Linked DNA regions of Elephas maximus indicus. The protein of the gene in region 1 interacts with the protein of each later gene in a pairwise test. Links are inferred from orthologs where the notes say so. Each region holds a gene or a part of one and is shown in the gene's direction. Other genes may lie near its edges.

Region 1 (7,589 bases):
AGTAAGCTGGGGTGATTTAGGGCTCACCTTGTTTGTTTCGTTTCCTTCAGTGATCACAGTCCTGTGCTGCTTTTCCTCCAGTGTCTGAAAGCAGTTTCATACATACTGTCTGGGTGTCTAGTTGTTGATGGTAGGAAGGCAATTCCTATAGCAGTTAATCCTGCTTCAATTTTTGCATTACTATACACTAGCATAATTAGAAGAAAAATTGGTAGTTGAAAAATATCACCTTGGTTATAAAAATGATGGTGGAGATCATGTGACAGAATTTTGCAAGACCAACAACTTATTCATTGCAGATACCTTTTTTCAACAACATAAACAGCGACTATACACATGGACCTCACCAGATGGAATACACAGGAATCAAATCAACTATATCTGTGGAAAGAGACAATGGAAAAGCTCAATATCGTCAAATCAGAACAAGGCCAGGGGATGACTGCGGAACAGACCATCAATTGCTCATATGCAAGTTCAAGTTGAAGCTGAAAAAAAAAACTGAAACAAGTCCACGAGAGCCAAAGTATGACCTTGAGTATATTCCACCTGAATTTAGAGACCATCTCTAGATTGGATGTGTTGAACACTAATGACCGAAGACCAGACGATTTGTAGAATGACACATGGTGTCAGGAGTAGTTCAAATTCCCACCAGTCAGATTGGACAGACCTCATAATACACACGGAATCAGTAGAGCTTTCAGTCCTGCCTTAGTTGTGAGGGTAAATTAGCTGTAAAAACTGCTCTGGACTCATCCTAACGAAAGATACTTGTCTTAGTCGTCTAGTGCTGCTGTAACAGAAATACCACAAGTGGATGGCTTCAACAAAGAGAAGTTTATTCTGTCACAATCCAGGAGGCTAGAAGTCTGAATTTAGGGCACCAGCTCCAGGGAGAGGCTTTCTCTGTCAGCTCTGGAGGAAGGTCTTTGTCACCAGTCTTCCCTTGGTCTGGGAGCATCTTCAGCCCAGGGTCATCAGGTCCAAAGGATGCACTCTTCCCAGCACTGCTTTCATGGTGGTATGAGGTCCTCATGTCTCTTCCTTCTCTCATATCTCAAAAGAGACTGGCCTAAGACACTGATCTTGTAGATCTCATTAGTATAACTGCCACTTGATCCATCTCATTACATCATAGTGATAGGATTTACAACACATAGGAAAATCACATCAGATGAGAAAATGGTAGACAATCATACAGTATTGGGAATCATGACCCAGCCAAGTTGACAGATATTTTGGGGGGACAATTCAATCCATGGCAATGCTTTAAAGGATCAAACTGATCCCAAATAATTCATCTGTCAGAACAAAGCTTAACATTCTTAAAAGTAGTACAATAAAATCGAGCACTCAACAATGTAAAATAATGTCTGGCATCCAACCAAAAATTATCAGGCATGCAAAAAAGGAGGGAAATGTGACCCATAGTGGAGAAACATCAACGGAAACAGATGCAAAATGACTAAGATGATGGAATTAGCAGGCAAAGACCTTAAATCAGTTTTTATAAATCATATATATGCTCAAGGATGTAAAGGAAAACATGAACTTGATGGAGAAATGGAAGATATGAAGAAAGTCCTAAATCTAGAAATGAAAAATGCAGTATCTAAAACAAAATACTCTGGATCAGATTAATAGATTGTACATTGCCAAAAAACAAAACAACAAAAAGTGAATTTGAAGACGTAGCATTGGAAACTATCCAAAATAAAGCACAGAGAGAAATGCAATTCACTTTGTAAATTATGTATTCAGCAACCTTGCTAAACTCTTATCTAATAATTTACATCTAACTTAAAAAAAAACATTTCTGTCAATCAAAAACATTCAGATTGGAAGATATGAGCTGCCTAATGACATTTTTCAACAGATGGCTTATTTTTTTTATTGTGATATATGTAACAAAACATTTGCCATTTTCAACATTCTTCATATGTACATTCACATTATGTTTATTGTTTTCCCACCACCACTAACTCCAAATTTTCCCACCACCCTCTACAGTAGCTCAGTGTCCTTTTCCCCTCCCTCTTGCCTGCCCCGGTAGAAACAAAGCATTGCTGTCGAGTTGATTTCTACTCATAGCGACTCCATGGGACGGAGTAGAGCTGCCCCATAGGGTTTCCAAGGAGCGACTGGTAGATGCAAACCTTCTGGTTAGCCCCTGAAGCACTTAACCACTGCACCACCAGAGCTCCTAATTTAGAATGTTCCTGGTAAATTGAAACTTTCCTTGTCGTCTAGATACATGTCTTCCACACTGATTCGTTGGTTTTGTATAATTTTCCATTTGCACTGCTTTACCATCAAGACTTGTCTTGCTGCACGTGACTAACTGGAAGTCCCTAACCTGGTCACTGGGTAAGTCCATACCGAATGGGCTTCCAGCTTCTGCACAGAACAGAGCCAACATTTGTCCCCGTACCAAGCGAATGCTCTCCAAAACCAACTGCTGCCTGAAGCAAGTGGGGAGAGGGATTTTGCAGGTGCTCACACTCCGGACAGGCAGCCAAGGAAGGCTTGGTACGAAGGGTTCAGTCCTCGGAAACGGGTTCGAGACCAAGCGCCCTGCACAACCGAGGAAATGCCAGAGCTCCAAGGCGCTGACAGCCGTTTAGGGCCGGTGATAGAGGAGGCTAAAGAATGGGGCTGGGAAGTAGGGGCTTGGGTAGCGGGTGGCTGAGGCTCTGCCAGGCCCCAATGTGGAGGGCACGGCCTTTTACAGCCTCGTGGCGCACAGGGAAGTCGCTGCTTGACGCACACCAACCCGGGTGGGAGGAGTTGGGTGGGTTGGGTTGTCAGGTGGGTGGGGTTGTCGGGTGGGAGGAGTTGTTGAGTGTGGGAGGTGTTGTCGGGTGGGAGGAGTTGGGTGGGTTGGGTTGTCAGGTGGGTGGGGTTGTCGAGTGGGAGGAGGGGTTGGGTGGGTGGGGTTGCCGGGTGGGTGGGGTTGTCGGGTGGGAGGAGTTGTCGGGTGTGTGAGCAGACGGGGTGTGTGTGTAGTCGCTGCCGGGCACCCGCGCCTGTCGGGTGTGTGAGGAGACGGGGTGTGTGTGTGTGGTCGCTGCCGGGCACCCGCGCCTGTCGGGTGTGAGGAGACGGGGTGTGTGTGGTCGCTGCCGGGCACCCGCGCCTGTCGGGTGTGTGAGGAGACGGGGTGTGTGTGTGTGGTCGCTGCCGGGCACCCGCGCCTGTCGGGTGTGAGGAGACGGGGTGTGTGTGGTCGCTGCCGGGCACCCGCGCCTGTCGGGTGTGTGAGGAGACGGGGTGTGTGTGTGTGTGGTCTCTGCCGGGCACCCGCGCCTTCAGCCCCGCGGGAGCTCGGCGGCTGGGTGGCGTTGTCGGGTGTGTGAGGAGACGGGGTGTGTGTGTGTGTGGTCGCTGCCGGGCACCCGCCCCTTCAGCCCCGCCTGAGCTCGGCGGCTGGGTGGCGTTGTCGGGTGTGGGTGCAGACGGGGTGTGTGTGTGTGGTCGCTGCCGGGCACCCGCCCCTTCAACCCCGCGGGAGCTCACCGGCTGACGGCGGGCTCGCACAGCCACCATGCCTGTCACTCGTTGGTGGGCGGGCCAGGCACCGCCCACACTAGGCTTTTATTGGTCACTCATGAGCGGGCCAGCTAGCGGCCTCCTTCTGATTGGCCAGCTGCTGGTAGCGGTCAAGTCAATCAGAAGAGGACTTACGGCGCTCGTTGGGCTCCTCCGGCTCCCGGCGGAGCTGCGTGAGGTAGCCGCGGGGCCGACCTGGCTACCGTTCCGAAACAGCGGCCCTGCTCTACTCCTGCACCGCTGTCATCCCCTCCTAACACATTATTTCAATTAATAACAATAAAAATGCGCTGTTTCTTCACAAAACGAGTTGCTTCGCTAGCAGGATGCGAGCAGTGTGCATTCAAGCGGCGAGACGCCCGGAGGGGAGGCGGCGGCCTGTTCCTCCCGCTGACCTTCTGACCCGCTCAGCAGAACCAGCACCTACTCTCGCCGGCAGGCGGCGCGCCCGCGTCTCCCGGCGCGCGGCTGCTTTCCGTGAATTCTGGCCCCCCGCGGCCCCCGTAGCGTCTCTGATTACCGCGCCCCTGGTAACCGCCTGCCGCGAGCGAGCCGCCGGGGGCCGGGGGCCACACCAGCTTCCCCGTCCCGGGCCGGCGCGGGCGCTGAGGCCTTGGCGGGGCGGCGATGGACGCCTCGCATGAAGCGGCGGGGCTGGCGGCCTCCAGCCACCAAACCCCGATAAACCCCAACAGCGGGGTGCGGGTCGCCCGGTACAGAAGGGAAGACCTCATAGAGGCCCTGGCGGCGGCGGCGGCGGCCTTGGAGGAGGCGGAGCAGGAGAAGACGGTGCCGTCGGCGCGGGCGTCGGTACTGCGGGCTGGGTGCAGGGCGGGACGTGGGCTGGGTGCGGGCTGGGTGCGGGGCGGGACACGGGCTGGGGGCGAGGAAGGTGCGGGGCGGGACGCGGGCTCGGTGTGGGGCTGGACGCTGGCTGGCTGCGAGGAAGGTGCGGAGCGAGACGCTGGCTGGGTGCGGGCTCGGGCTGGTGTGGGTCCCCTTCCAGCTTAGGGACAGGCTGGGAAATGCGCTCCCCTGTCTAGATCTTCCTGGAAGGTAATTCTCTGCCCAGTGATCCTGGCCCACAACCTTCTCTCAGCCCCCACGAAAAACACCCAAAACCGAGGCTTCCAAAAAGTCTTTTAATTTTCACCAAAGAGGTTGCAGTAAAAGTTTCTAGAAATTATTTCTAGAAAGAGCAAAGCACAGAACTTTCCTCCTTATGCTTTGGTGTTCCTTGGGAACGGATACAGTATTTCCTTTAAAAAAAAGAATTTGAAACCTGTGTTAGTCATTTAGTGCTGCTGTAATAGAAATACCACAAGTGGATGGCTTTAACAAAGAGTTTATTCTCTCACAGTCCAGTAGGGTAGAAGGTCCTTGTCCTCAGTCTCCCCATGGTCGGGGAACTTCTCAGGCGCAGGGACCTGGTGTCCAAAAGAGGCGCTCTGCTGGTGCTGCTTTCTTGGTGGTATGAGGTCCCCAACTCTCTGCTTGCTTCTCTTTTCTCTTGAGAGATAAAAGGTGGTGCAGGCCCCACCCCAGGGGAACTCCCTTTACATTAGATCAGGGATGTGACTTGGTAAGGGTGTTACAATCCCACTCTAATCTTTTTAACATAATATTATAATCACAAAATGGAGGAGCACCACAGAATACTGGGAGTCATGGCCTAACCAAGTTGATACATACGTTTTGGGGGGAACATAATTCAATCCGTGACACTGATCTCCTCCCATGAAATTGAGTTGATGACCCATGAAAACTTAAGTGAATCAGCTAAGCTCTCAAGTGTGTTTGGTGGATCTTAAACACACTACTTTAGAGGCAGGAGTTTAAATCATCAAGAATTTAGTGGATAGACCAGACACAGATATAGATAAGACCAGAGAAATAAATTACTGAGGTGCCAGTGTTTCCTAAATGGCCTTCTGGATGGAGCAAGACAGCCTTTTCACTGATCAGTTTTCACTGTCACATGTGTCATGGACACCTGTCCACCAGGTGGAGGGCAGAGTCTGCCATCTGCTCTCTTCACTTAAAAGATGAGAACCTTGCAGATATAAAACTCTCCACCAGATAAATCCTTTTAATACTATATGTCTAAAGCTTCTCACACAAAAAACATTTTGGTGTAGGGCTGTTAGAAATCACTGGATACTTGGAATTCTGATGTCTTTACACTACAGCTGTTAATAAGAAATCTGTAGCAGCACCTTTTATGTTCAGTATTTCACCAACAGACATAAACTGCTTGAGGCTGTCCAGAGTTGGGCAGATCGAGACCCAGCACAGGATCAGAACACTAGGACCATATTTGCTCATGATAAAGCTTCCAGTCAACACAAGTTGCAGTAGGCAAGCAAGGGAATAGAGGAAGAAGACTAAATGGAGGACAAAGCTTTGGAGTTCTGGATTAGAGTTTGGGCTCTATCTCTTGCTAGATGATGCTAGGACTTAACTTCCTTAAGTCTCAGTTGCCTTATCTGTAAAAAGGACTAGTGTAATAATTCTCTCTCTCTCCTGTCTCAGTGACTGAGAACCAAATGAGAGAATGTGTGTCATATCTAAAGACATGCTTATATAAATTGGCAATCATAATAGCAACTACCCATGGGACTGTCATTGCAGTGACTCACCCAAAGATGAAATTTTGTTTTGGCTTTCTGTGGTAGAGGAGCTAGTCATTTCTCTGGCTGCACTTATACTTCCAGAGTGTCCTGATAAACTGTAAATTTGTATTAGAAACTGTTATTACCTTTGGAGAGTGGAGAGATTAGCTTACATGGTTCTGAAAGGGCAGGATCCAAAAAAAAAAAAAAAAAGGAAGAAAAAAGAAGCTAACTTTTATAAGTTTGATACTGTTCCAGGATTGTCACACAGGAAAGGTCCAGAAGCACACCTGGGTGGCCTGCCTCACTGGGCCTGATAAGCCAGGTGATGCTGGGGGCAGGGGAAGACGGAAAAGGCAGGAGGAGTGCAGGAACCAGGCTTTGTCCCTTTACAGTTTGGCTTGGGTCTCTAACTTGATTTTTAAAGGTTAATATGTCTCAACTTTGTCATCTATAAAATGTATTAAACCCAGATAGCATACCCACCACACAAGATTGTTTATAGAACCAGCTGTCATAGTAGGCCTCTTTCAGCCATTTGGTTTTGCCAGAACCCCACCTTGCAGGACTCTTTTCCCCTTTGGGCACTGAATTCAGTGCTCCCTGAATCCAGCCTCATCAGAGTGAGGGGAAGGAGAGATGCGTCAGTTCCTGGGCCCTGTGATGTGATGTGACATAGCTTGGACATGTTGCCAGGAGGGATCGGTCCCTGGAGAAGGACATCATGCTTGGTAAAGTACAGGGTCAGTGGAAAAGAGGAAGACCCTCAATGAGGTGGATTGACACTGTGGCTGCAACAATGGGCTCAAGCATAACAACGATTGTAAGGATGGTGCAGGACCAGGCAGTGTTTCATTCTGTTGTGCATGGGGTCAGTATGAGTTAGAACTGATTCGATGGCACCCAACAACAACAATAACATAATGTGATGGATGAAGCCATGGCTAGAGCAGCATTGTGTATGTAAACATGGGATGGGGGTGGGGGGAGCTGGTGTCTGACCTCTAACTTCACAAGAGGGAGGGAGAATCAAGATCAGCAACCCAAGGCTGATTCCTGTGAGGCTGAGGTCAGATGTGCTTCCTCCTCCCCTTCCCCTTTTTACCAATTATGGCACCAGCGGCCCCTTCCATGGCACTCTCTACTTCCCTGCTAGGGTCAATACTTTGTTGCAGTGGCCATGCAGAACTCACAGACAATACTCATGATTATGGGGTTTATTAGGGAAGTGACAGGTTACAGTTCCGGCTCAGGAACACTCAGGGTACAGTTCTTCCATCACGTCGGCCTCTTCTCAGCCATGCCTGCAGGCATGACTCTCTGGCCCTCAGCCTCTTGGCATCTCAGCCCAGCCTCTGCCCTGCTCAGGCAAGTGTTACAAAGCTCTTTTAGCTTCCCAATAAGTGCCCAAAGGCACCCCACTCC
Region 2 (8,394 bases), on another chromosome or scaffold:
ACATCAAGCAAACAATAACCAAAAAACAGCAGGAGTGGCAATATTAATCTGATATAACAGACTTTAATGCTAAATGCACCATAAAAGACAAGGAAGGACATTATGTAATGACTAAGAGTCAAGCCATCAAAAGGACATAACCATAATAAATATATACACACCCAATGACAGAGCTCCAAAATACATAAAACAAACTCTAAGAGTACCGAAAAGAGAAATAGACACCTTCACAATAACATTAGAAAACTTTAACACAATACTCTTTGCAAAGGACAAAACAAAGAAAAAGAAATTCAGCAAAGACATAGAAGATCTAAATACCACTATCAACCAACTTGACCTCATAGACGTATACAGAACACTTCACCCAACAGCGGCAAAGTACACATTCTTCTCCAATGCTCATCGATCATTCTCCAGAACAACACATTTTAGGCCACAAAGCAAGCCTCAACAAATTCAAAAACATCAAAATAATACAAAGCATCTTCTCTGATCACAATGCTCTCAAAGTAGAAATCAGTAATAGGAATAGCAAGGAAAAAAAAACTAATACATGGAAACTAAGTAATACCCTGCTTAAAAACTACTGAGTAATAGAAGAAATCAAATATGGAATTAAAAAAATTTCTAGAGTCAAATGAGAATGAAAAAACAACATACCAAAACCTTTGGGACACAGCAAAAGCAGTTCTCAGAGGGCGGCTGATAATAACACACACATCCAAAAAGAATAGGCAAAAATCAAAACATTAACCCTACAACTCCAACAATTAGGAAGAGAGCAGCAAAAGAAGCCCACAGTCACCAGAAGAAACGAAATAATAAAAATTAGAACAGAAATAAACAAAACAGAACACAAAAACAACAGAAAGAATCAATGTAACTAAAAGCTGATTCTTTGAAAAAGATTGATAAAATCAACAAACCACTGGCCAAACTGACAAAGAAAAACAGGAGAAGACACAAATAACATGAATAAGAAATTAGATGGGTGACATTACAACAGAACCAACTGATATAAAAAGGATCATAACAGAACCCTATGAAAAACTGTAATTTGAAAACCTAAAGAAATGGACAAATACCTAGAAATACACTACCTGCATAAACTAACACAAAATGGCGTCAACAATTTGAACAGACCTGTAACAAAAGAAGAAATTGAAGGGGTCGTGAAAAAACTCTCAACCAAAAAAAGCCCCAGCCCAACAGCTTTACTGGAGAATTCTACCAAACATTCAGAGAAGAGCTGACACCAGTTCTACACAAACTATTCCAGAACACAAAAATGGAAGGAATATTCTAGAATTCATTCTATGAAGCCAGCCCTGATACCAAATGCTGGTTAAAAAAAAAAAAAAAATTCATCACTAAAAAAGTGAACTACAGACCAATATCCCTCATGAATACAGAAGCAAAACTTCTCAATGAAATTCTAGCCAATAGAATTCAAAAGCATATGTAAGGAAAAAAAAAAATACATCACGACCAAGTGAGATTCACACCAGGCATGCAAGGATGGTTCAACATTAGAAAATCAATCACCTTAATTCACCACATAAACAAAACAAAGGAAAAAAAAATCACATGATCATCTCAATTGACACATAAAAGGCATTTGATAAAATCCAACAGCCATTCCTGATAAAAACTCTCAATAAAATAGAAATAGAAGGGAAATTCCTCAACATAATAAAGGGAATTTATACAAAATCAACAACCCACATTATTCTCAACAGGGAGAATCTGAAAGCATTCCCCTTGAGAATGGGAACCAGTAAAGGGTATCCTTTATCACCACTCTTATTCAACACTGTATTGGAAGTCCTAGCAATAAAGTGAGAAAACGAAATAAACCTCCAAATCAGTAAGGGATAAGTAAAACTATCCCTATTGGCAGATAATATGATCCTATACAGGAAACCCTGGTAGCATAAGTGGTTAAGAGCTACGGCTGCTAACCAAAAGGTGGGCAGTTCGAATCCACCAGGCACTCCATGGAAACGATATGGGGCAGTTCTACTTTGTCCGATAGGGTCGCTATGAGTCGGAATTGACTCGACTGCAACAGGTTTGATTTTTGGTTTTATGATCCTATACATAGAAAATCCTAAAGATTTCACAAGAAAGCTACTGGAACTAATAGAAAGATTCAGCAAAGTGGTAGGATAAAAGACCAACATACAAAAATCAGTTAGATTCCTCTACATCAACAAAGAGAACTTTGAAAACGAAATCAGGAAAACAATACCATTTATAATAACCCCCGCCAAAAGATAAAATACTTACGAATAAATCTAACCAGGGACATAAAGACATCTACAAAGAAAACTACAAAACACTACTGCAAGAAAACAAAAGAGACCTACATAAATGGAAAAATACACCATGCCTCTTGGATAGGAAGAGTAAACGTTGTGAAAATGTCAATGCTACACAAAGCGATATACAGATATAATGCAATCCTGATCCAATTCCCAACAGCATTCTTCAGTGAGATGGAAAAACTAATCACTAGCTTTATACAGAATGGAAAGAGACCCTGAATAATAAAGCTTTTCAAAAGAAGAACAAAGTGGGAGATCTCACATTACCTAATTTCAGAACCTACTATACAGCTATGGTAGTTGAAACAGCCTGGTGCTGGGACAACAACATAGACCAATGGAACAGAATTGAGAACGGAGAAGTAAATTCATCCACCTATAGACAGCTCATCTTCGACAAAAGACCAAAGGTTATTGAATGGGAAACAGACGGTCTCTTCAACAAATGGTACTGGCAAAACTGGATATGTATCTGTAGAAAAATGAAACAGGATCCATACCTCACACCATACAGTGAGTAAAATAAGTCAATCGTAAAAAGACAAATATTGTTTGATACTGATTTTATAAAGAAGAAAAGGCTTACACACAGAAAAAAGGAAAGGAAAAGGAAGGAAGGAAGGATGAAAGGGAGGAGGGGAGGGAAGGAGGGAAGGAGGGAGGAAGGAAGGAAGGTAGGTTCTTTTATGGTTACCAGGGATGGTAGAGGGAGGGAGGAAAAATTACCAAAGAGGTAGTAGATGGAAAGATATAGTAGGAACGACTTAACACTGGTGAAGGGAAAAGCAATATATAATATGGGAAAACTCAGCAGAACGTGACCAAAGCAAAAGGGGACACTGAGATGAGCGTGCGAATAAAGGGCAACTACCATAACTACTATAGTATAGACAGTCCTGCAACAATAGTATTAACAATAATTTACATAAACAGCTTTAAATGGAGACAGTTTTGGAGTTGAATCTACTTTTAATACCTTCTCTGACTTCCACCCTGCAAACAGTTGCCACTTTGCAGAGCGTATGCCTGTAGCATGATTATCAAATGGGTGCTATGTACTTTCGAAAAGCATACTCAAATAGTTATATAAAAGGAAAAACAAACCATTTGTTTTTGTATAGAAATTACAGAAAGTAAAGCTTGACAAAGGAGCCCTGACGGCACAGTGGTTAAGTGCTCCGTTGCTAACAGAAAGAATCAGCAGTTTGAACCCACCAGCTGCTCTGCGGGAAAAAGATGTGGCAGTTTGCTTCCATAAAGATTACAGCCTTGGAAACCCTATGAGGCAGTTCTACTCTGTCCTATAGAGTTGCTATGAGTCAGAATCGACTTGATGGCAATGGATGAAGCTTGACAACTTGGTTGCAGGATTTTAAGATTGAGAAGCAGTGTTTCACAGCTACCTTCCTATTCTAATTGTGCTATTACTAATTCAATAGGGTTGGAATTAACTCACAATAAAAGTAAAGAGTGAAAATAAAGATCTGAGAAGCTACTGGAGCTCTGTGATTCAAGGATTTCTCTAGGTATACTAGCATTTTCCACCTAACCTTTGTTCATGCAATCTCTACAGCCCTAGACCGGAATGTCTTGACACTTCCTCTCTGCCCATCCAAATCCTATACAGGGTTTAAAACTCAAATCCTGCAAGATCACACGCTGATTTCCTTCTCTGAATTCAAAGGGCAATTATAATTAAACTATAACAGGAAACTTAATAAGTGATTACGTTCTGCCTAGTATCTTCTACTCGCTTCAGCAGGGAGAAGAGCTAAACATGTATCAACCAGTGTGCCTATTATAATACTCACGTGGAAGCTCAGAAGTCATAGGTGACTATGCTCCAATCCTAGCTCACAGGTGAAGAAATGAGACAGTCAACCTCTTATCTGACCTGACAATGAGTGAAAAAGTTCTCCGTGCTGTTTTAAGGGGCATGGTGGAGTGGATAAGGGTGAGGATTCCGACCTACTCGACTACAAAAAGCAGATTTCCCTAGTCTACCCCATATTCCTGTTCCGAAAAAGCCATCCCTCCTCCGCGACGGTTCCTTTCGCAAGGTGGAAACCACGAAGTCCAAAAGGATATGGTATCACCTTTGCCCTCTGACCTAGGAGTGGAAACTCACCAGTTTCATATTGGACTTCAGGCTGTTCAACAGCAATCACTCGACTCCTCAGACCCAGAATGCGTCTTCCGGTTCAATCTCCGCCACCAACCTGCACAGAGCATTACGGGACAGGCCGTCTCCCACCATCCCACGCCCCAGGAATCATGGGAAATGTAGTCATCCCTAGATGCATCATGGGAACTGTGGTCATATTTTCTTTTTTTCCCTGAACTCCTTCTTCCGTCATCCTCGCCGTCTCTTCATCCTCCCTCTTCACCCCATCATGATATCTTGTCCCCCATATGGGCCTGGGACACATAGTTTTCTGGGAGGTGTAGTCCCGGTGGGTCTGGATTCCCCTTTCTCCTCCTCCCTGTGGGCCGGCTAATGGATGCGGGACTTGCCGGGAGCTGTAGTTCTCCGAGGTGTCTAGATGCGGAGTCCCAAGCTTTTACTCAAGGGAGGCAGGAACTACAACTCCCAGGGCTGCCCGGCGGCAGCAGGTGGGAGCGGGGCTGTTGATATCAATATGGCGGTTGTCAGCCAGACAAAGACAGTCAGTCTGATGTGATTGAGGCAAGGGAGGTTTTCACGGGGAGACTGGGAGATACCGGCCTCCCCTCCTCCCTTTCCTCTTCCTGTGCGGGCCTCAAACCCTCCCCAGCCCCCACCCGCCGGGCTCCCCACGCGGAAGACACCCCTCCCCCTCCCGCTTTCTCCTTCCTATCTCAGCTTTTCGTACTGGGACGTTGGGGAGGGGGCTGTGCCGGGCGGAGAGAACTCAGCGAGGATTCTGAGGTGAGTCGAGCAGTTTGAAACCGGACTACTTCAAGTCTCTTCCCTCACTTGTTTCTCTTTACTTTTAAAATTTTCCCCCAGAGGCTTTGGGGAGAAAGTGAGTGGGATGGGGAAGGGTCTCTTAAGCGGCCGGTTTGAGAGGAGGGAGAAAGCAGGGGCTTCCGAGTAATTGACCTGGACGCAGGATATGGGGTGGGGCAGTTTATAGGGTGCATTAATTGAAAGGCGTCGGCTTCTCCCCAACTCTTTTTTCCTTGTTACCGCCACGGTGGGCGGAAGGTTTGAATCCGGGAGTTGGGGGGGGGGTCTTCTGTTTGGAGTTTGGGAAACTGACGTGATTTTGAGGTGTGTTGGTTTGTATTACTGTGGTTTAAACTGTGTTACGGGTACTTGTGTGATATATTTGTATTGCATAAATGTCTAAAGATAAGAAGTTAGATAGCTAGAAACATAGCTTTTAACGGGGCCTGGGCTGAGTAGCGTGTGTGAGGTCCTGCTCCTGGACGTTTGGCTGACGACGTGGTGCTGGGTAGCTGGGGTTAGCAACTCGTTTGTGTAGGATTGCCCGCTCACACTCCTCTTCCCCGTCTCCGCCCCCTCCTCTGGACGCATCTCCACCCCAAACTCCCGGCAGGAGAATTGTAGAGATGATGTGGTTTGGAGATGGATTTTTGCATACTTAAGTCAGTAGCTAGGTGGGAAAGGAAAAGTGTTCTTAATATTTTATTCCGGAACCGTGTTTTGGTTACACTCTTGGGGCTACTTTGAAAGGAGTCCTCCACCCACCCTCACCCCGAAACAGTAGGTAGAGGTGTCTCGCCGCCTTCGTGTTAAATATATTAATAATTAAGATTTTGGGGCGTGGGGTGGGCATACGGAGTGCTGAATTGTGTATGTGTCTGTGCGTGTCTACTGAAGATACAGAATGATTGTTGTGTATCTTGAGATAGGGCGACTTATTTTCGTGGCAGGAAAAGCTATTGGAAATTATTTGGGGGGCAGCTGAAAGGCGCTGCTTGTATTTTTCTTCTACCCCACCCTATTCTGCCTCGCATTTGCCTGAAAGCTGGTGTGGAAGAGTGAGTGAAGGAAAGAATGCAGTTGGCCTTGAAGATACCGTACTATGTGAAGTTGAATGATATGAAGTAATTGCTGTTTTTATTTACCTTAAAATAGCTTTAAAACCCTCATGTATCACATAGGGTAGAGTGATGTGACCAGTTTATTTCCATGGAATCCTGCAGGTGTAGAAACTCCTTCCTTTCTTCCCTGGCATTTGGATGGACATAATGCCTCCTGAGCCTTTTTATTTAGTTTGTGCCAATATGGTTGTGCTTTTTTGTTGTTTATACTGTAAGAGGCATCACTAGATGAAAAGATTTTGCATTTGTTTTTATTTTGCATTTATGCCACAGGTAATTGCCACGTAAGGATTGCAGTGCTTTGCGTTAAACTTATTTTTAAATTGAGCAACTAAGTTGTTAGATGTAGTTGAATTATGTTTATAAATCAAGTTTGGAAATTTTGAATTCTGAAAAATTTGAATTCTGATTTTTTGTTAGTTTCGTTTAGAGCTGTGAAGGGAAGAGGATTGCAACATCTCTTGTTTCTCAGTCTTTTATATTCAATAACACTACAAAAGGAGAATTTAAGAGCGTTTATTTTGTATTTCCATTTGAAATAGAAGTTCTTTAGTATGCCTTCTTATGTGACTATTTTTTAGTGTAATGGGCTTTTCAATAACCAAAGGAATTGTAATAATTTCTATTTAGACTGTTGAGAATTTAATACATTTACATATGACCCCAAACTTACTGATTCTTAAAACTGCCACCTATCATAAGAGACCCTAGATTCTATAAAAACTGAACTCCACACAGATACAGTATGTAATTTTATGGGATGTTTTATAACCTTTGATTTGAAATTTCTGCAGTTGGTCATTCATGCAGTTAAGCTGATGGACCTGACAAAAAAAATTGATATTTTTTAAATCTCGAATTTATAGTATATGTTGATGCAAAGCTGAGACTTTAGTTTGGTATAGATAGGATTTCCAGAATTATCTGTTTTAACCTTGGATCTTAATGTGAAACATTACTTTGCAAAAACTGAAGAGAAATCCTATATAACTGTATAATAGAGTGTTTTTTTTTTTGTTGTTTTTTCTTTGCTCGAAGATATTCTGGTAGTCATAGAGTTTTAAAATGTTTAATAATTATTTTAGAAAAATACCTCAAATGCTTGTTAAGAGTCAGAAAAATATAAGAATGTTTTCTCTTCCACCTACCGTTAGCTTAGCAATTTTTTGTTGGATTTATTCTTTTTGTTTTTATTCTTTGGAAATGCAAAGTTACGGGAAAAACTTTCATGAAACTTATTCTCACTAGTACTCTGGTTGACATCATTAAATGCAAACTAGATATATTCCTTGCATTCGCTGGAGTGATTCCATTGCATTTTAAGCACTGGGCATTAAGATGATATAAAGCTTTTACTGCAGGTTAAAGCTTAAAACATTCTCAGCATGTGGAAGTCATATGGTTTACAAAAGTAGAAAATCAGGGCATTGGTGCCTGACCAGCTTAAAATTTCATCCCATAACTGTGAAAGACACATTTTATTTTCACGTGATCACTTCTAAAAATGTTGCCTATATTATGGGGAATTGAAAATCCGAACTGTTTTTAACCCAATCTGTTGCTACGTTAGTGTACCGCATGTATTTATGCAACTATTTCTGGTTGCAAATGTGCATCAAAAAGCTGTTAGGGTAAGTTTTATGTTGAATGTCTTCATTAAGGAGTCATTTTCACTGCTGCAGAAACAAATTTCAGTCTTCTATTATTAGCCTACATCACTAATACAAACTTAATAGCACAGTATTGGTAGGTTATAAAATATATTGCAATAAATCTTGCATTGTTTCATAGTGTTTGGCAAGTTTTGATTGGAATGAAATTGTTTATTTCAGTAGTTTTTTAATACATCGGAATAAACCAAAAAAAAAGAAAAAACAAAAAAACCCCAAAACCCACTGCTGTTGAGTCGATTCCAACTCATAGTGACCCTATAGGACAGAGTAGAACTGCCCTACAGAGTTTCCAGGGAGCGCCTGGTAGATTGGAACTGCCGACCTCTTAGTTAGCAACCGTA
Region 3 (7,913 bases), on another chromosome or scaffold:
TGAATGTTTGAGTTTGAAGAGGTAGGTCTGTCACAATAAGAACTTTGGTGAGCTTTTGGCAGGTGATTTGGGTTATTCATCAGATTTGAAAAGGTCACTCTGGCTCCCAGGTGGAGCACAGATGGAGTAGGGGAGGGGGGAGGAAATGCAGAAACACCTACGTACAATCAAGGTACAAGCAACGGAAGATGGTGTTTGGAGTATCAGTGATTACAGTGGTTGTTATTAGCTGCCCTCTAGTTGACTCCAAACTCCTGGACATCCCGTACGTAAATAATGAAGTGCTGCCTGGTCCTGGGCCATCCCACAATCTGCTGGGAATCAGACCGCTGTGATCCATAGGATTTTCACTAACTTATTTTCAGAAGTAAATGACCAGGCCTTTCTCCCCAGTCTGTCTTAGTCTGGAAACTCCACTGAAACCTGTTCAGCATCATAGCAACACCCAAGCCTCCACTGACGGACGAGTAGTGGCTGCACTTGAGGTGCCTTGGCTGGGAATCGAAACTGGGTTTCCCGCGTGAGAAGCAAGAACTCTACCACTGAGCCACCAATGCCTCACTAGTCATTACAGTGGGGAGAGGCATAAAGGAGAACATGCCGGTTATATTCTGGAGGTGGAACAAAGAGGCATGCCGGTGGACTGGGTGGCCACGGAGAGTGAAAGAAAGGAGTGAAGGATGACTCTCAGCTTTCAGTGGGAGGAACTGGGAAGATGGTGAAATCCTAGATTGAGATGGGAAGATCAGCTGAGAAACTGGTTTGGAGAGTCTTCACTGCTTCAACTATATGCTTCCAGTCTCTTAGTCACTGAAATAATTGGGGTCATTTAGCATGTCTTTTCAAAGGTGGAAAAATAGGAGGAAACTGCAGCTTGGCCTAAATTAGGTTCAGAATGTTTTTCTAGGGAGAATTTATCAGGCAGGTAGCAATGTGGTTGGAAATGGGTCTGAGGACTTACCTGGATGCAGAATTTGATAAATATACATAGTTTTTACAGATTGTTTGCTTAGGATGATTTGGGGGGCTAAGAAAGATCATGGGGGGTGCTGAAGGCCCCCACAGCCACCCTTTGATACCATCATTTACTAAGAAATTGGAGAAGAGTTAGCACTGTTGAATTTAAATATTAAGAAAACAATAAAAGTGCAGTTTGATGTCCATTTTCCATGTCATTTCATAGTGTAGTTAGTGGAGGGAGAGAATAATTAAAGATGTAAACATGTAAGCCAAGAGCCAAAAGCACTCTGAACAGCTCAAGGTTGTGAACTTCTTTAATTTGCCCTTTCCCTGAGGGGTCATTTCTTGGGTCATTGACTTATTATTATTCTGTAACACAGTGGTAGCCCCTGTCATCCTCTGCCTACCACCAGAGCATGATCCAGCTTGGAGTTTGAAGAGTTTGGTTATTGGATTTTAATGACTCGGTTAATAAAGGTCATTTCTAAAAGTAATAGAAAACTAAATGTGTGGACATAAAATGGATAAGACTGGCTCAGGGGCTATTTCTAGTAGTTCCTCAGTGTTGTTCTTGGATAGATGTTTCATCCTTAAAAAACAGTTAAGAAGGATCGTTCCTTTTAACCAATTTACTGAGGTGTCGCTAGGAGTCAGCATTGACTCGACAGCAACAGGTTTGGTTTGGGTTTTATAATTAAATAACACTGTAAAATGCTATTTGAAACCCCTCAAAACAAAGGTACAATGTAGACACCAGGCTTAAAACATTATAATATATTGCTAATATCGATAACTGTAGGATTGTAATTATGTGATATAATAATTATAACAGTAGTTCATATTATATGTGTGGTGCCCTACATCATCTCTGAGAGAGTGAAATACCTTAAGTCTCAAACGGCTGAAATCTGGTTAGATATGAATCTTGATGTTAAAAGGGACCTTAGAGATAATTTAATCTTGTCACTTTAAATACTGACTAACTTCACACAGTGTTTAGAAAATGTTTCTCTAAAGATGGTGTTTATTAGCTGTGAAAGAATTCCGTAAGGTAAAATGGTGGTTGTTTGAATCATCCCTAAAATTAAACTGATAAAAGCATTTAAGAATATGTGGAAAGGCATCAATTTACAGTCTCTCTCTAGGCATAGATTACTTAAAAACTGATTCTCACCCAAAATCCAATGAGCCGAGATGTAAATGTACAAGTCACACAGGTAATACATTTCTTACACAGTTTTACAAAGCCTTCCTGATCTGTCACCTGTGGGTGTCTCCAGCCTTCTCTCTCTTCTCTCTGCACCCTACCGCCCGTCTTCTCACCTGCAACTTTACTAGTCTTCCAGCTCCGAGCCTCAAATTCACCCTGCTTTCTCAAGGCCTATGTACAAGGGATTCCCTCTGCCTGGAACCCTTCTCCTTCGTTCTTTACTGAGTTAACTCCTTCTTCAGCCTAGCACTACTTGCTCCAGGAAGCCTTCTGTCCATTACTTTGCCCCTAATTTCAGAACCTACAGATGCTTCAGTAGTTCTTGTACAATCTCTGTTCAGTTTACCTGGGAAGGCTAAAACTAATACTGCCTTATTCACCATTCAGTCCCCAATGCTAAAACAGTGCCTTGAACATAAACAAACAAACAAAAACAATTGCCACTGAATCGATTCCAACTCATGGGGACCCCATGTGTCAGAACAGAACTGCACTGCATAGGGTTTTCAAAGCTGTGACCCTTCAGAAGCAGCCAGGCCTTTCTTCCAAGGTACCAATTTTTCGGTTAGTAATTGTGTGCTTAACCGACTGTGCCACCCAGGGACTCCTCTGGAACATGATGGGTGAAAGGACAAAGACTGAATGGGTAAGGAATGAGTGAACGGATAAAGGCAATCAACACCGAAGGATTTGAAATTTATAGTTTACACATTTAAACAATAACACAAACCTGAAGAAATAAAGTGGCTGTTTTAAATAGATACGTTTCACTTGTATTCTTTTCCTCTCTAAGGCGAGAACACGGATGGTCATACACTGCCTGGCATCAGTTTGACATAGGACAAAATGTTTACGTTGTTGTAATTTTTTTTTCAATGGGTTAGATTAAACGTAGGATCCAGAAAGTTATAAATGTAAATAGCAGGGTATTGTGTGAAAATCCTATCAATTCAAGCAACTATAACTTACAACTTGTAATCTTTTTCCCCAGGAAATGAGCTAAAAGGACAGGAAGAAGTCTTTAGACCCTTTTTGTTGGAAACAAATGGTCTTTCACCATGCCAGCATTTACCTCGGGGAATGGATTTGGTCTGAATACTTCCATTTCTGAAATTGTGCAAATGAAGATGACTTAGGTTTAGAGTCAAACCACATTCTTCTATAAAGGCTCAACGTTTTTCAAGTCTCCATGGTGCAGTGGTTAAGGGCTAGACTGCTTAACCAAAAGGTGGCTGTTCGAATCCACCAGCTGGTCCTTGGAAAGCTATGGGGCAGTTCTACTCTGCCCTGCAGGGTCGCTATGAGTCTCGACGGGTTTTTTTGTTTGTTTGTTTTTAAGTCTCCAGAGAAATTACTGTTCTTATTTTAAGAGCAAAAGAAGCAATAAAACATTTGCTTAGGCCAGGAGGAGCGGAGACCGGCAGAACCCTACATCCCTAGAGAAGTTTGAAAGAAGCCCGTGTTAGAGCTGATAACTCACCACCGCACATCTTTTGCCAAATACCAAAAACAACGTGGGAAACGGAAAGAAAACAAAAACCTAAAATGAGATTATTTTCTTTGCTTGTCCTTCTTCTTAAACCTCTAACTTTTTTTTTTTCCCCCTCCTTTAAATTGCGGACTGTTGGTGGGTGGGGGTGGGAGTTTCTAATGAACACAAGACCCAGCCTCAACGCAAGTTTAATAACTGACATTTTAGAAGCAGGATGGCCATTTACAATAGCTGAGCCAAAGTACCAGACTACGATAACAGCGACAGTAATAACAGCTATGAATTGACTGAAGGAGCAAAGTTGGGGGGCGTGCGCTCCCCTGTCCACACTACCGAGCTCTCCGCCCCTCGGCTCCCAGCCGAGACCCTTGGCGCTCGTGGCCCAACCGGTCACACTCGGCAGGACTGAGCCCCCTTTTTCCCTTCTCCGGGGGAGAGAAGCGCGAGGGGGAGGCGAGAATCGCGTTTCCACGACAAAAGCCACCCACTCATCCCCCGAGGAGATCCCGGCCCCGACCCGGCCCGGGGACCTCGCCCCTCTTACTCTGGGGCTCCATGGTCAGGTCAGCTGCGCCCCGGCCCCCGCGGGCCGAGCCCTCCCAACGCCTCTGCTCCCGCCAGGCGTCGCCCGGTCGCCCTGACAACCCGGCGGGCGGGGGAGGAAGGCAGGAAGGACGGCGAGCGGGAGGGACCAAACGCCGTGCGGAGCGCGGGAGGCCGCGGCGCGGGGACGGAGCCAGGGTGACGGCGCTCGCCGGTCGGAGACACTGCCCTCGGCCCGGGCGGCCGGTCACGCCCCCCTGCGGCCCCCCTGCGCCCCCCTGCGGCCTCGGCGGGCTCGGGGCGGGGCCTCCGCGCGGGGCCTGCGGGTGGCGCCGTCGCCGACCTGAGCGTCCGTCGGTCCGTCAGCGTCGGGCGCGCTCGGCCTGGCCTCCGGGTCGCGGAGCCGCCCTGCAGGTAAAGGGCGCCCGGGCGGCGGGAGGGTCGGGCCGGCGGGCGACCCCGGGGGCGGGCGGCCCGCGCACCTGTTGCGGCCCCGGGCTCGCTGCGCCCCCGGCCGCCCCGGAGGACCCGGCGACCCCGAGGGGCCTCGCGCCCCGCTCCCCGCACCCCCGGCTCAGCAGTGGGCCTGGACCTCTGCACCCCACCCCACCAGTAGGAGGGGCCCCAGCCCCCGCAGCCCCTTTCCCCCTCAGCAGCAACGTCCCCGGGCACCCCAGCCTCTTTCCCCCTCAGCAGGAACGTCCTCTGGCACCCCAGCACGCCCAGGTAGGAGTGTCCCCCGGTACCCCAGCCCCTCCTCCATGAGGGGTGCCCGCGGCACACCAGACCCCCACAGCAGAAGTGCTTCCGGTACCCCAGCCCCCGCCCCCCAGCAGGAGGGTCCCCCAGCCCACTAGCCCTGCCAGCAGGAGGGTTTTTCAGCAGCCCAGCCATGCCCCGCCCCAGGCAAGAAGGTCCCCCAACACCCCAGCTCCCGAGCAGGAGGGCCACCCAGCCGCAGGGCGTTGGCCTGGCGAGTGGTCACTCAACCACAGTTGCGGGAAGTGGGCCAGAGGTGCCTCCTGAACTCATGAAACCCTGGAGCCTTCCTCGCCGACCTTGCTCTGTCATCACCAGTATCCCATTTCAGGCCCTCTGCCGGTGTCGATCTTTCTGGTCGGTTTAGTTCTTCTGTGTTTGTTTTTGTTTCAATCCTGCTAGTTTTAGGTTGAGTTATTGAATCAGCCCACGTGCAGGGTTGTTAAACGAGTTTAGCATGAGCCCACACAATAGTCTTTACTGTTATTTGTTTAAAGAACACTCAGATCTTGTGTTAGAGGCGGAAGCTTTGAAGACCACAAGGGTCTTTTATCTGGCAGGTTGTAAAACCCCGACCACAGGAGTATCAGGTTAAGAAAAAGGATTCAGTAAGGAGAAAAGAAAAATGGAGAAGAGAGAAGAAAAAGATTGAGAATGGAAGTGCAGGTGGGGAAAAAAACTACCAGATTGATTTAGTACTCACATCTGGAGGCTGCGGTCCCCCCATCAATTCCAGCCACTGCTCAAGGCAGTACTGAAGGGGAATGGAAGAAGAGCCCTTTTGGGGTCATGTAAGTGATCACTCCTTCTTTGCCGCTAGAGAGATTTCCACTCCATAGATGACAGGGACACCAAGGAGGGTTGCTTTCCTCAGAAAGGAAATCATTCAGAGGTGAATGGAACCTGAGAACCATATATTCTATGATGGAAAAGGATATTTATTACATTCCCCCAAATTAGGGTTCCCCCTCTCAGACTGCATCAAGATGTTTTCAGGTTAATTGTCAAAGCAGGAAGGTCTGTGTGTGGACATTGACAAGCAATGTGATATAAACAGAATCTGTAATTCGTAAGCTAAAATATTAAGGTAATAATTCGGGTCAGAAAGTAAACACTCCATAGTACCTTCACTGTCTGTTCCAGAAACGCAGAGACAGGGAATACATTTTAGGCAGAAAGTGTCTAAAATCAACGATATTTCTACAGAGCAGTGTTTCTCAGACTCCAGTTTTCATATCATTAGCAAAACCACAAACTGGCCTTTTCATGCAAGAAGCAAACACAGGGGTGCTCATCAGTAATATCATAATGAAAAGTGACAAGGCAGTGGTAAAAACCTGGTGTTTATTGACACAGAAGAAGGTATGGCTAAAATTTCTCAAACATTAAAGGACTCGGTGTTTGTATAGAAAAAAAGAAAAAAACAACAAAACAAAAATATTGCAGCGCTCTGTGCTGAGATAACAAAGACTTGAGAATTTGGTAGTTGAATTCTACTTTGGTGAGTAGCACCTGGGTTCTTAAAAGCCTGTGAACGGCTATCTAAGATACAACACTGGTCTCACCCCTTTGGGAGCAAGGGAGAATGAAGAAAACTAAAGACACAAGGGAAAGATTAGTCCAAAGGACTAATAGATCACATCTACCAGGGCTTCCACCACACTGAGTCCAGTACAACTAGATGGTGCCCAGCTACCACCATCGACTGCTCTGACAGGGATCACAATAGACGGTCCCAGACAATAGAGCTGGAAAAAAATGTAGAGCAAAATTCTAACTCACCAAAAAAGAACAGACTTACTGGTCTGACAGAGACTGGAGAAACCCTGGGAGTATGGCTCCAGGACACCCTTTTAGTTCAGTGCTGAAGTCACTGCTGAGGTTCATCCTTCAGCCAAAGATTAGACAGGTCCATAAAACAAAACAAGACTAAAGGGGCACACCAGCCCAGGGGCAAGGATGAGAAGGCAGGAGGGAACAGAAAGGCTGGTAAAAGGGAACCCAAGATCGAGAAGGGAGGGTGTTGACGTGTCGTGGGGTTGTTAACCAATGTCATAAAACAGTATGTATACTGTTTAATGAGAAACTTCATCTAAAGTACAGTAAAAAGCAAAAATAATTTGGTAGTTGAGCACAGATCCTAAGGTCGGAAAAATGGTAATACACAGATATTGGTGAAGTACTTTATAGTAATATAAACCAGAAAAACCAAACCCACTACCACCGAGTCGATTCGGACTCATAGCAACCCTATAAGACAGAGTAGAACTGCCTCATAGTGTTTCCAAGGAGCGCCTGGTGGATTTGAACTGGCGACCTTTTGGTTAGCAGCCATAGCTTTTAACCACTACACCACCAGGGTTTCCTTATAGAAGAAGGTATTTTATCAGTAGCTCTGAGGTTGACATTGAAGAAGTCTTGCATTGAAATGCTTTAGGTAATAGGTAAAGGCAGCTATAGAGAGCAACATTTGATCTAGGTGACAGTGTAGGTATGGAAGACAAGCCTGACTGGTCAGTAACGGTGGGGAGGTAAGGGGACATTATCCAGTTTCTCTTTTCTCTCCAGCACCTAGTACTATGCTGGTTAAATGGTTGTTGAGTGAATAAGAAGAGCATTAGGGAATTTGCTGTAGATAAAAGAGTATGCTTGTTGTTAGAGAAAATATCCTGAGATCAGAAAGTTGCTAATAGGATCGTTGGAGGTGAACGGTAAAGGCTTTGGTGGCCCTTTTATGGGGGTTTTCTACCTTTGTGTTTTCTGCTTTCTTTTCAGTGGTATGTTCAGTATGCTATCAGTGGTCAATGAGAAACAAAATCTTGATTTTTTGTTTGTTTGTTTTTAAGTTTCCAAGCTCATTTTGGGATTGAACAGTTACATTATTCTTTACTTCGCTGCTGCTTAACTACATGTAGCAAACCAGCATTGTCAGCAGGCAGTAACAAGGCA
Region 4 (8,433 bases), on another chromosome or scaffold:
TTTTTTAACCAGCTACTCCACCACGCATCTGTAAGTTTGTTGTACCGTGGTGGTTTGTGTGTTGCTATAATGCTAGATGCTATGCCACCAGTATCTCAAATACAGGTAGGCCTCGACTTATGACGTATTTATGACGAACTACACTCACACAGACTTTTTTTTTTGTGCATTTTATCATTAGTAATACGTACTACATACAATGTTAAAATGTATAAATATATCTGCAAGTTTATACGTAATGTTTCCAATCCCCAAATATAGTATTTATAAAAATACTGATAATAAAAGGTAATAATAACGAAAACTTAAAAAAAAATGAGGTATTCGACTTAGAACCAACTTATAACAGAGTCATCGGAATGGAGCCCTGCTGTAAGTCAAGGACTACCTGTACCAGCTGAGTCACCTATGGTGGACAGGTTTCAGTGGAGCTTCCAGATTAAGACAAACTAGGAAGAAAGGCCTGGTGATCTACTTCCGAAAATTAGCCTATGAAAACCTTATGGCTCAAAACAGAATAATGTCTGATATAGTGCTGGAAGATGAGCCCCCTAGGTTGAATGGCAACAATGAACTCAAGCATTCTGAGGATCATGAGGATGTCTGGGCAGCGTTTTGTTCTGTTGTACATGGGGTTGGTGTCTTAGGCTGGGTTCTCTAGAGAAGCATATACATATGTATGACATATATATGTAAAGATTCATCTCCAGGAAATGGCTCATGCGGTTGTGGATGCTGGCAAGTGCCAAATCTGTAGATCAGGCGTCTGGCTGGAGGCTTCTCCTGACTCATGTGGTTGCAGGGGCTGACGAACTCGAACTGGCAGGTCAGACGACAGGCTGGTAGTCCACAGGGTTGTGGAAGCTCTTGAATTAGGTCCGATGGCAGACTGCTAGTTCAAGTCCCAAGAACCAGAGGTCAGATAATGACAAGCCAGATGCAGGATACAGAGCAAGACCAAGCTTTGCCAGAGTGTCCATATATATTGGATGTAGGTCACAATCTCAAGGAAACTCCTCTTACGTCAGATAAGGGTGTGATTTGACTAGGGCAGTGATTTGAGGTACAGTGACTTACTAAAGGCTGTGACTCAAGGTACACTCCACACTAATCCTGCCTCATTAAAATATAGAGGTTTAGGATTTATAACACATAAAGCTGAGGATAGTTACATGATACCACAAAATGGAAGACAATTGCATCAGATCATAAAATGGAGGACAATTACATGATACTGGGACCCATAACCTAGCCAAGCTGACACACAGCACTGACCATCACAGTCACCATGAGTCAGTGCCCACTCAATGGCAGCTAAGAACAACCATCCACTAAACAATGGTGTGCTCAGCCTTCTTCACTTCTCACTTTATATTCTCTGTATCCACATTCATAGTTTTAATTCTTATTTACATGAGAGTGATGTCAAAGTTTTACTGCAAGCAATTTTATCTATTAAGGTCCAGTCCCTATATCCAGCTGCTTTCTTGACCCTTTGAACTACTCAGGGTTTTTGGTCGCACGAAGACTAGCCCTGGCTGATTTAAGTAGAATGAATGTTCACAGGATTGCAGATATAGCCTATGCTAGGCAGTCAGAAACAACAGCTAAAGTCACACCACAAAACTGGCCTGGTGAGGACACCCGAACTGCTCTCAGGCATGACAGCTTGTGTCACTGATAGTGCTGGCACTGGAAAGTGAACGCTATCACTAGCAGCACGGCCACTATGGCGCCTGGAGATACTACTTTGCTGGAACTGTCACCACTGCCAGAGGATTCTTTGAGGTTTCTGCTTCTCGGTGTCGTAACTCCATCTGCAAAATCCTTGGTGAGTGCATCTGATTATCAAAGCACAGACCATTAGTAATTTCCTAGCTGCAAGGGATTCTGAGAAAGCAAGTCTCTGGTATTTCTAGATGCTATTGCAGAAAGCAAATTCTACCTCGCACCAATTACTCATAAGGTAAGGAATCCCCGGACGTATAAACGAGGTTCCAATGGTATATATACAAAAATAATGAAGATGCCAAGATGTTCAATCTGCATCTCTAATTGGACAGCTCAAAGATACCTCAATCTCAACATATCCAGGCTGAATTTATAATTTTTGTGGCCCTCTTAGCCCCCTTCCCCCCAAAAATCTGGTCCTCTTCTAATCTTTTCTCTCCATGAGTAAGACCACAATCCATCCAGTTTCACAAGCTAATGGGCTTGGAGTTGTCTTTGACACTTCCTTCTCCCTCACTCCCCGTAACCAACCTATTACTACCTCTAATATTTATCTCTCTTGGTCTCTCCACTTCTATCCATCTCCTCTGCCTTCACTTTACTTCAAGGCTCCATCATCTTTCAGCTGGACTACTGCAATTCACTCTCCATTAGTTATCCAGTGCTGCTATAACAGAAATACCACAAGTGGATGGCTTTAACAAACAGAAATGTATTTTCTCACAGTTTAGGAGGCTAGAAGTCCGAATTCAGGATGCCAGCTCTGGAGGAAGGTCCTTGTCACTTCCTGGATGATCTTCATGTGAGTTGGCATCTCTCTTCCCCCATCTCTGCTTCTTTCACTTGCTTGTTTAATCTCTTTTATATCTCAAAAGACATTGATTTATGACACACCCTACACTAATCCCGTCTCATAACATAAAGATAACCATTTCCAAATGGGATTATAACCACAGGCATAGATTTTAGGATTCTGGAGGAACACTTAACACTTCCCTTCTAATATATTCTCTAACAATAAGGCCAGGGTCATCTTTTCAAAATGCTTATCTCATCATGTTACACAGCCCACAGAGCATAAAATACATCAACGGCTTCCAAACTTAACATGGCCTACAAGGTCCTGGCTGGTCTGGCCCTTGCTTACCTCTCCTGCCTCATCTCTCCTCACTGTCCCTCATTCTGCATGCACTCCAGCCTCTTCAGTCTTTCATACTATGCTCCCTCCTCACGAGAACCTCTGTACATTTTGATCCTTTTATTTGGAATACTTCCTACCACTCTCACCTTCGCCTACTAATTGCTACTTCAGATTTTCAGTCAAGATCATTTCCTCAAGGAAGCCCTCCCTAAGCCTCCTTCCCCCGTAAGACAGATAACGACATCATCTATATGCTGACAGCACTACAGACCTCACCTTCATGATTTATTAAATTTTTTAAATTATATTTATTTGATTACTGTCTGTCTCCCCCACTAGACTGCCAAGTCCCATGAAGGCAGAGAGACCAGGTCTATTTTTTGTTAAACACTGCATTCCAAGAATAAACCACAGAACCTTATCCATAAAATCAAAATACCAAACCCGTTGCCATCGAGTAAGTTCTGACTCATCGTGACCCTACAGGACAGAGTAGAACTGCCTCATAGAGTTTCCAAGGAGCACCTGGTGGATTCAAACTGCTGAACTTTTGGTTAGCAGCCGCACCACTTGGCCACAATGCCACCAGGGTTTCCAACCTTATCCATAAAAAACCAAACCCATTGATGTCGAGTCAATTAGGACAGAGTAGAACTGCCCTAGAGAGTTTCCAAGGAGCGCTTGGTAGATTCCAACTGCTGACCTTTTGGTTAGCAGCCATAGCACTTAACCACTATACCACCAGGGCTCCCCCCACCTTATCCATTAAAAAAAAAAAATCCATACCAAACCAAAAAAACCAAACCCAGTGCTGTCGAGTCGACTCCGACTCATAACAACCCTACGGGACAGAGTAGAACTGCCCCATAGAGTTTCCAAGGAGCGCCTGGCAGATTTGAACTGCCAACCCTTTGGTTAGCAGCCATAGCACTTAACCACTATGCCACCAGGGTTTCCACCTTACCCATAAAAAAAAAAAAAACATAAAAAAGTAGGTGTTAAATAGCAAAACCAGTTGCTTTCAAGTGAATTCTGACCCATGGCAGCCCCATGTGTTTCAGAGCAGAACTACACTCCCTAGGGTTCTCGAGGGCCAGGTGCTTTCAGAATTAGATCACCAGGTCTTTTTTCCAAGGCACCTGTAGGTAGATTCGAATTGCCAATCTTTCTGTTAGCACCTGAGTGTTTGTCTGTGCCACCCAGATACTCCTAGGTGCTGAATTATACCTCTTAAAATTGGAATGAATGATTTCCCTCGAGACTTGGGACTGAAGAGTGGGGGGTGGGGGGAGTAGAGTTTAAGAGAATAAGCGCTCCTGAATTGGTTAATGGTGCAGCACCAGCAGAGAGAAGCACCAACTCTTGAAGCTGAGAGGGTGAAGGTGAAGAAAAAAATCTGTCTTGGACCTCGTTGGACCTTCCAGTTTCAGTTTTTTAGGAGGACTGGCTGCACAGCTACTCACGCTCACTTCTCCCTTATTAATTAAATCATAAACTCCTATTTCTCCTTTCTGGCAACCATGTCTGTAGAACTATTTTGCATGTTTTAATTAACTTAGGCTAAAATGAAAACTTCCTGCTGTAACAATGTCTAGGCCTCTCTGGAAGAATTCTCAACGAGGGTGCTAGCAGAGTACACTCAACACTCCTGATACCTGATGGTTTTCAAATATGTTTTCATGTTTGATAAACAGATTCTACCTGTTCAGAAGATGAGGAGACACAACTAAATGGCAACACACCTCTGGAGTAATACAGAAGTGATTATTAAGAGATACTTGAATATTTTTTATCCTTCCCACAGAAGGTATGATCCTCAAAATCACAGCAAATTATTGTTGAAAGCAAAGTAATAAACTTCATTCAATATGACTCATTATGGCATAGGAGAGGAATCCACTCAAAAGCTAAATATGAGTTTTGAAAATTTGAGTCTTTTTTTCAGTTTTACTATATGATACTGTACTTTTCAGTACCTGGCCCCAGGACAAGGAACTAGAAAACTAGTATGCAGAATTAACGCTTCTCTAGTAACAGTGAAAATTCAGTGATTTACTATTTTAGCAAATGTATATACTGATGTTTGTACTAAATATTAGAAACATAAATGTCAGAAAGCTTGTTGTAACAATGAATTTTTATATTTTAAAACACAAAACATGCTATCTGTACTGATTTTATACTTCCTCTGAACTAAGAATTATGTTCTTATTTCAGCTTCTCTGGATTTTTCCTCTTCAAATAAAATGCTTGTCACCTATAGAGGTTTAGAAAAGGTTACCCCTGACTAAAATAATTGCTTCAATAAAGAGAAAAATTCTGTGGAAATCTCTTACATTTGACGTTGCTAAACTTAAGTACAATAATGTCACATGTACTTATACAGTAATTGTGGGCACGCCTAAGTCCCTCCCTCTTCCCTAAACCAAATTCCCCAGATCCTAGAAATCCAGCCTTTCTGCCCTCCGGAGGCGCCTTTCTCAACGTAAAGTACAATTTAAAATTTAAGCTCCTGACTAAATAATGATTCCGCAGTCAACTGCTAGAGAATCTGGGCACCCAGTGCTTCTGGAGGGTGCATCGGGGTGTAGGCAAGGGCAGGGGGAGTGGGCGAAGCTGCTGGTTGGTGCCTGAAATCTGTGCGTTGCCCCTTTAATTGTGTCCCCAGCCCTCGGGCGTTTCTGTCCAACGCCCACGTCAGCAAATACCTTTTGTTTCTCTCACGTTGGGGCTACTTGTTTTAGGGCGCAAAGGAACGGCTTCGTAAAGGGGTTATTTCCCCCGCCGAGAACCTGGAATCTTCTCCCAACCCGCGCGCACGACCCGTAAGGGTAAGTGGCTGCGCGCGGCACGGGCGGAGGGCGGGCGGGGCGTCGGGGCTGCCCGGGACGGGCCCGCGAGCCTCTCTGCTGGCTGAGGCGCCTCCGGCTCCGCGGGCTCCGACTGCCCGGGCGGCAGCGGCGCCGGGATGCGGGCCCGGGGCGCGCCGCCCCCAGACGTTCTCGGGCCGGCGGCGGGCGGCGCAGAGGCCAGCGGGCGCCATTTGCAGCCCCGGGCGCAGCGGCGGCGGCGGCGGCGCGGCGGCTCCGAGGGGCTGGAGGTGGCCACAAAGGAGGCGCGGAGAGCTGGGGCGGCGGGCACGGCCTCGGGGCGGCGGCCGGGCGGCCCGCGGGACAGGCGGGCGGCGCCGGGGCGCACCGGCTCCCGCGCCCGCCCCGCCCGCGTCTCCCCGCCCGCGGGACCGGCCCCTCCTGCGCGCCCGGGAGGGACTGCGGGACAATGGCCGCGCCGTCGCCGCCCGCCCGCGCTTGGCGGTCCCCGATGAGCGCGGCGCCCGCCTCGCCGCCCAGCCCGGCCGCGGCGCGGGGAAAGGCGGGAAGGCGCGCAGAGCCTCCTGGCGGCTGCGGCGGGAAGCCGGCGCCGGGCCGGTGCCGGGCGTGTCTGGAGCCGTCGGGCGTCGCGGACTCCGGGAGGGTCGGCGGCCGGCCGGACACGGGCTGCGCGGCTGAATGACGGGCGGCCCGCCCAATGGGGCGGTGCGGCAGGCGGGGCAGGGACCCGGGGCTTCTCCCCGCGCGGTCCCGGGCGCTTTATTGGGAGGGTGGCTCCCCGTGCGGTAGCTCGAGTTTCTCAACACGTTCTCCAGCGTTTGGTTTTGTATCCTGATGCAACAGATCTGGGCATAGAACCGAAGGCAGGCGTACTACACCTAACAAATGGTGAGCAACAAGATTCGTTTTATGACGGAGCCAGGCGTCCACATCTGCCTGTGCCGACTGCCCGTTCCGTAAATGAGCCGTTTGGCCCCTTTATCCCACCAGTGCGTTTACTGACGGTTGATTGTACGAATAGCCAGACTCGCCGTCTTTCCAAGACCTGTGTGGAAGTGTTGGAATCGCACTTACCGGGCTTTTAACTAACTTCCTCAGTAATACCTCTATTTTTAATAAACCTTTATATTTGCAGAACTTTTATTTCGTAAATGGAGTGCTTTCATTTGTAGGTATTTCACATAAAAGAACCACCCAGTCAAAGTGATGGCTATTTCATTTTCAGATGAGGAAACACTGTTTGACCCTCTAGGCCAGGGGTGAACGAGAAAGAGGGGGACCTTCCAATGTGCCTAGTCTCCTGGTCCTCCTCCACACCCCCTCCTAATGGCAGCACCTCCAGAAGAATATTCCAGAGGAGCAAGCTAGTCACATAGCTCCCTGGCTCAAAAAGCCTTAACAGATCTTTATCAGAATAGAGCCCAAACTCCTCAGCAGAGGATTCAAGCCCTAAGTCTCCACGTCCTTTTTTATCCCCCCGCCCTGAGCAAGAGCCCTTCACTCATAACCAGGGACCAGACCCCATTAGTCCTGGGAACTTTGCTGGCCACACAAGTGGTAAATGAGAAGTGAGAGTCGGTGGCCTGGGACCCTTCACCCAATGGGCGTGTGTGGAAGTCAGCGTTAACACATCAGCTGGAGGCCACGTGAGGGGGCGGCTCCTTCCAGGGGTATGGCCATTTAAATTTCTGATCCCACGAAAAAGGCCACCAGGCCAGACCTTACCTCATAGCCCTGAAATCAACGGCGTTGCTGGTGATTAATGATTTGGGCCAAGCAGAATCATTGTAACATAGGGTAATACTTGATTCCTCCTATATCATTTAAATCTGATTTTCTAGATAAAGTAGAATTTCCGTCTAATGAGATTAACCCCTTCAGTGATATACGTTTGTAATGTTTGAAGGGTTTGATGTAAGCTTTTTCATGTCCTTGAGGGAAGTTTTTGTCACTTCTCTGTCAAAGTCCATCAGTGGCTCACCATCTCATGCAGATTAAAAGCCAGAGTTTCCCCAACTCCAGCTGTCTGCAAGGCCCTGTAGAAATTCATTCCACCTACCTATGTCCTCCTAGAATCTGGCTTAACTTTCTGACTGTGTCTTCCATTCCTCTTCCTATGACTCCTTGATGTTCCTCCAAGCCTCCTAGCCGGCCTCGCCTCACCACCTTAGCACTTGCTCTTCCATCTGCCTGGAACACTCTTTCCCCAGATATCCATGTGACACTCTCACTTCCTTTAGGACTTTACTCAAATGTTATCTTCCCAGTGAGGCCTTCTCAACTATGGTTTTGATTCTCTTAAACATTGTTACACTTAATTCTAAATCTTTCCAGGTTTAAAAGACGTTTACCCACTAAGGAAACCCTGGTGGTGCAGTGGTTGAGTGCTACGGCTGCCAACCAAGAGGTCGGCAATTCAAATCCACCAGGCACTCCTTGGAAACTCTATGGGGCAGTTCTACTCTGTCCTATAGGGTCACTGTGAGTCGGAATCAACTCTACGGCAGTGGGTTTGGTTTTGGTTTGGTTACCCACTAAAGAACACAATTGGCATTCCAGTTGACTGAAGTTCCTTATGACCCAGGAATTTTTCACCCGAGAGGCTAACTAGATTCTTTTTCGTGATACTGATGGGACACATTAAATTCTAGGTGGCAGTTGTTGTTAGTTGCCGTTGAGTCAATTCTGACTTATGGCGACCCTGTGTATGTCAGCGTAGAACTGCTCCAT

The links.
Region 2: the proteins of FAM161A (region 1) and HMBOX1 interact in binary tests that used the Homo sapiens proteins (3 or more experiments, as listed by UniProt). The two-hybrid records come from large-scale screens. The link is inferred for Elephas maximus indicus from reciprocal best matches to the Homo sapiens genes FAM161A and HMBOX1.
Region 3: the proteins of FAM161A (region 1) and DHX32 interact in binary tests that used the Homo sapiens proteins (3 or more experiments, as listed by UniProt). The two-hybrid records come from large-scale screens. The link is inferred for Elephas maximus indicus from reciprocal best matches to the Homo sapiens genes FAM161A and DHX32.
Region 4: the proteins of FAM161A (region 1) and ZBTB8A interact in binary tests that used the Homo sapiens proteins (3 or more experiments, as listed by UniProt). The two-hybrid records come from large-scale screens. The link is inferred for Elephas maximus indicus from reciprocal best matches to the Homo sapiens genes FAM161A and ZBTB8A.

Annotation. Positions count from the first base shown.
Region 1 is NC_064844.1:479,319-486,907, forward strand, and holds the start of FAM161A (protein FAM161A), read left to right. Parts: upstream 1-4,069; 5' UTR 4,070-4,179; coding exon 4,180-4,362; intron 4,363-7,589. UniProt on the Homo sapiens protein: Involved in ciliogenesis.
Region 2 is NC_064840.1:43,559,183-43,567,576, reverse strand, and holds the start of HMBOX1 (homeobox-containing protein 1), read left to right. Parts: upstream 1-4,927; 5' UTR 4,928-5,238; intron 5,239-8,394. Other genes in the region: INTS9 (integrator complex subunit 9), read right to left, coding at 4,459-4,467. UniProt on the Homo sapiens protein: Binds directly to 5'-TTAGGG-3' repeats in telomeric DNA. Associates with the telomerase complex at sites of active telomere processing and positively regulates telomere elongation.
Region 3 is NC_064834.1:75,857,403-75,865,315, reverse strand, and holds the start of DHX32 (putative pre-mRNA-splicing factor ATP-dependent RNA helicase DHX32), read left to right. Parts: upstream 1-4,481; 5' UTR 4,482-4,619; intron 4,620-4,830; exon of another isoform or gene 4,831-4,931; intron 4,932-4,953; exon of another isoform or gene 4,954-5,755; intron 5,756-7,913. Other genes in the region: FANK1 (fibronectin type 3 and ankyrin repeat domains protein 1), read right to left, coding at 4,207-4,219.
Region 4 is NC_064821.1:73,377,896-73,386,328, forward strand, and holds the start of ZBTB8A (zinc finger and BTB domain-containing protein 8A), read left to right. Parts: upstream 1-5,309; 5' UTR 5,310-5,357; intron 5,358-5,363; exon of another isoform or gene 5,364-5,616; 5' UTR 5,617-5,703; intron 5,704-8,433. UniProt on the Homo sapiens protein: May be involved in transcriptional regulation.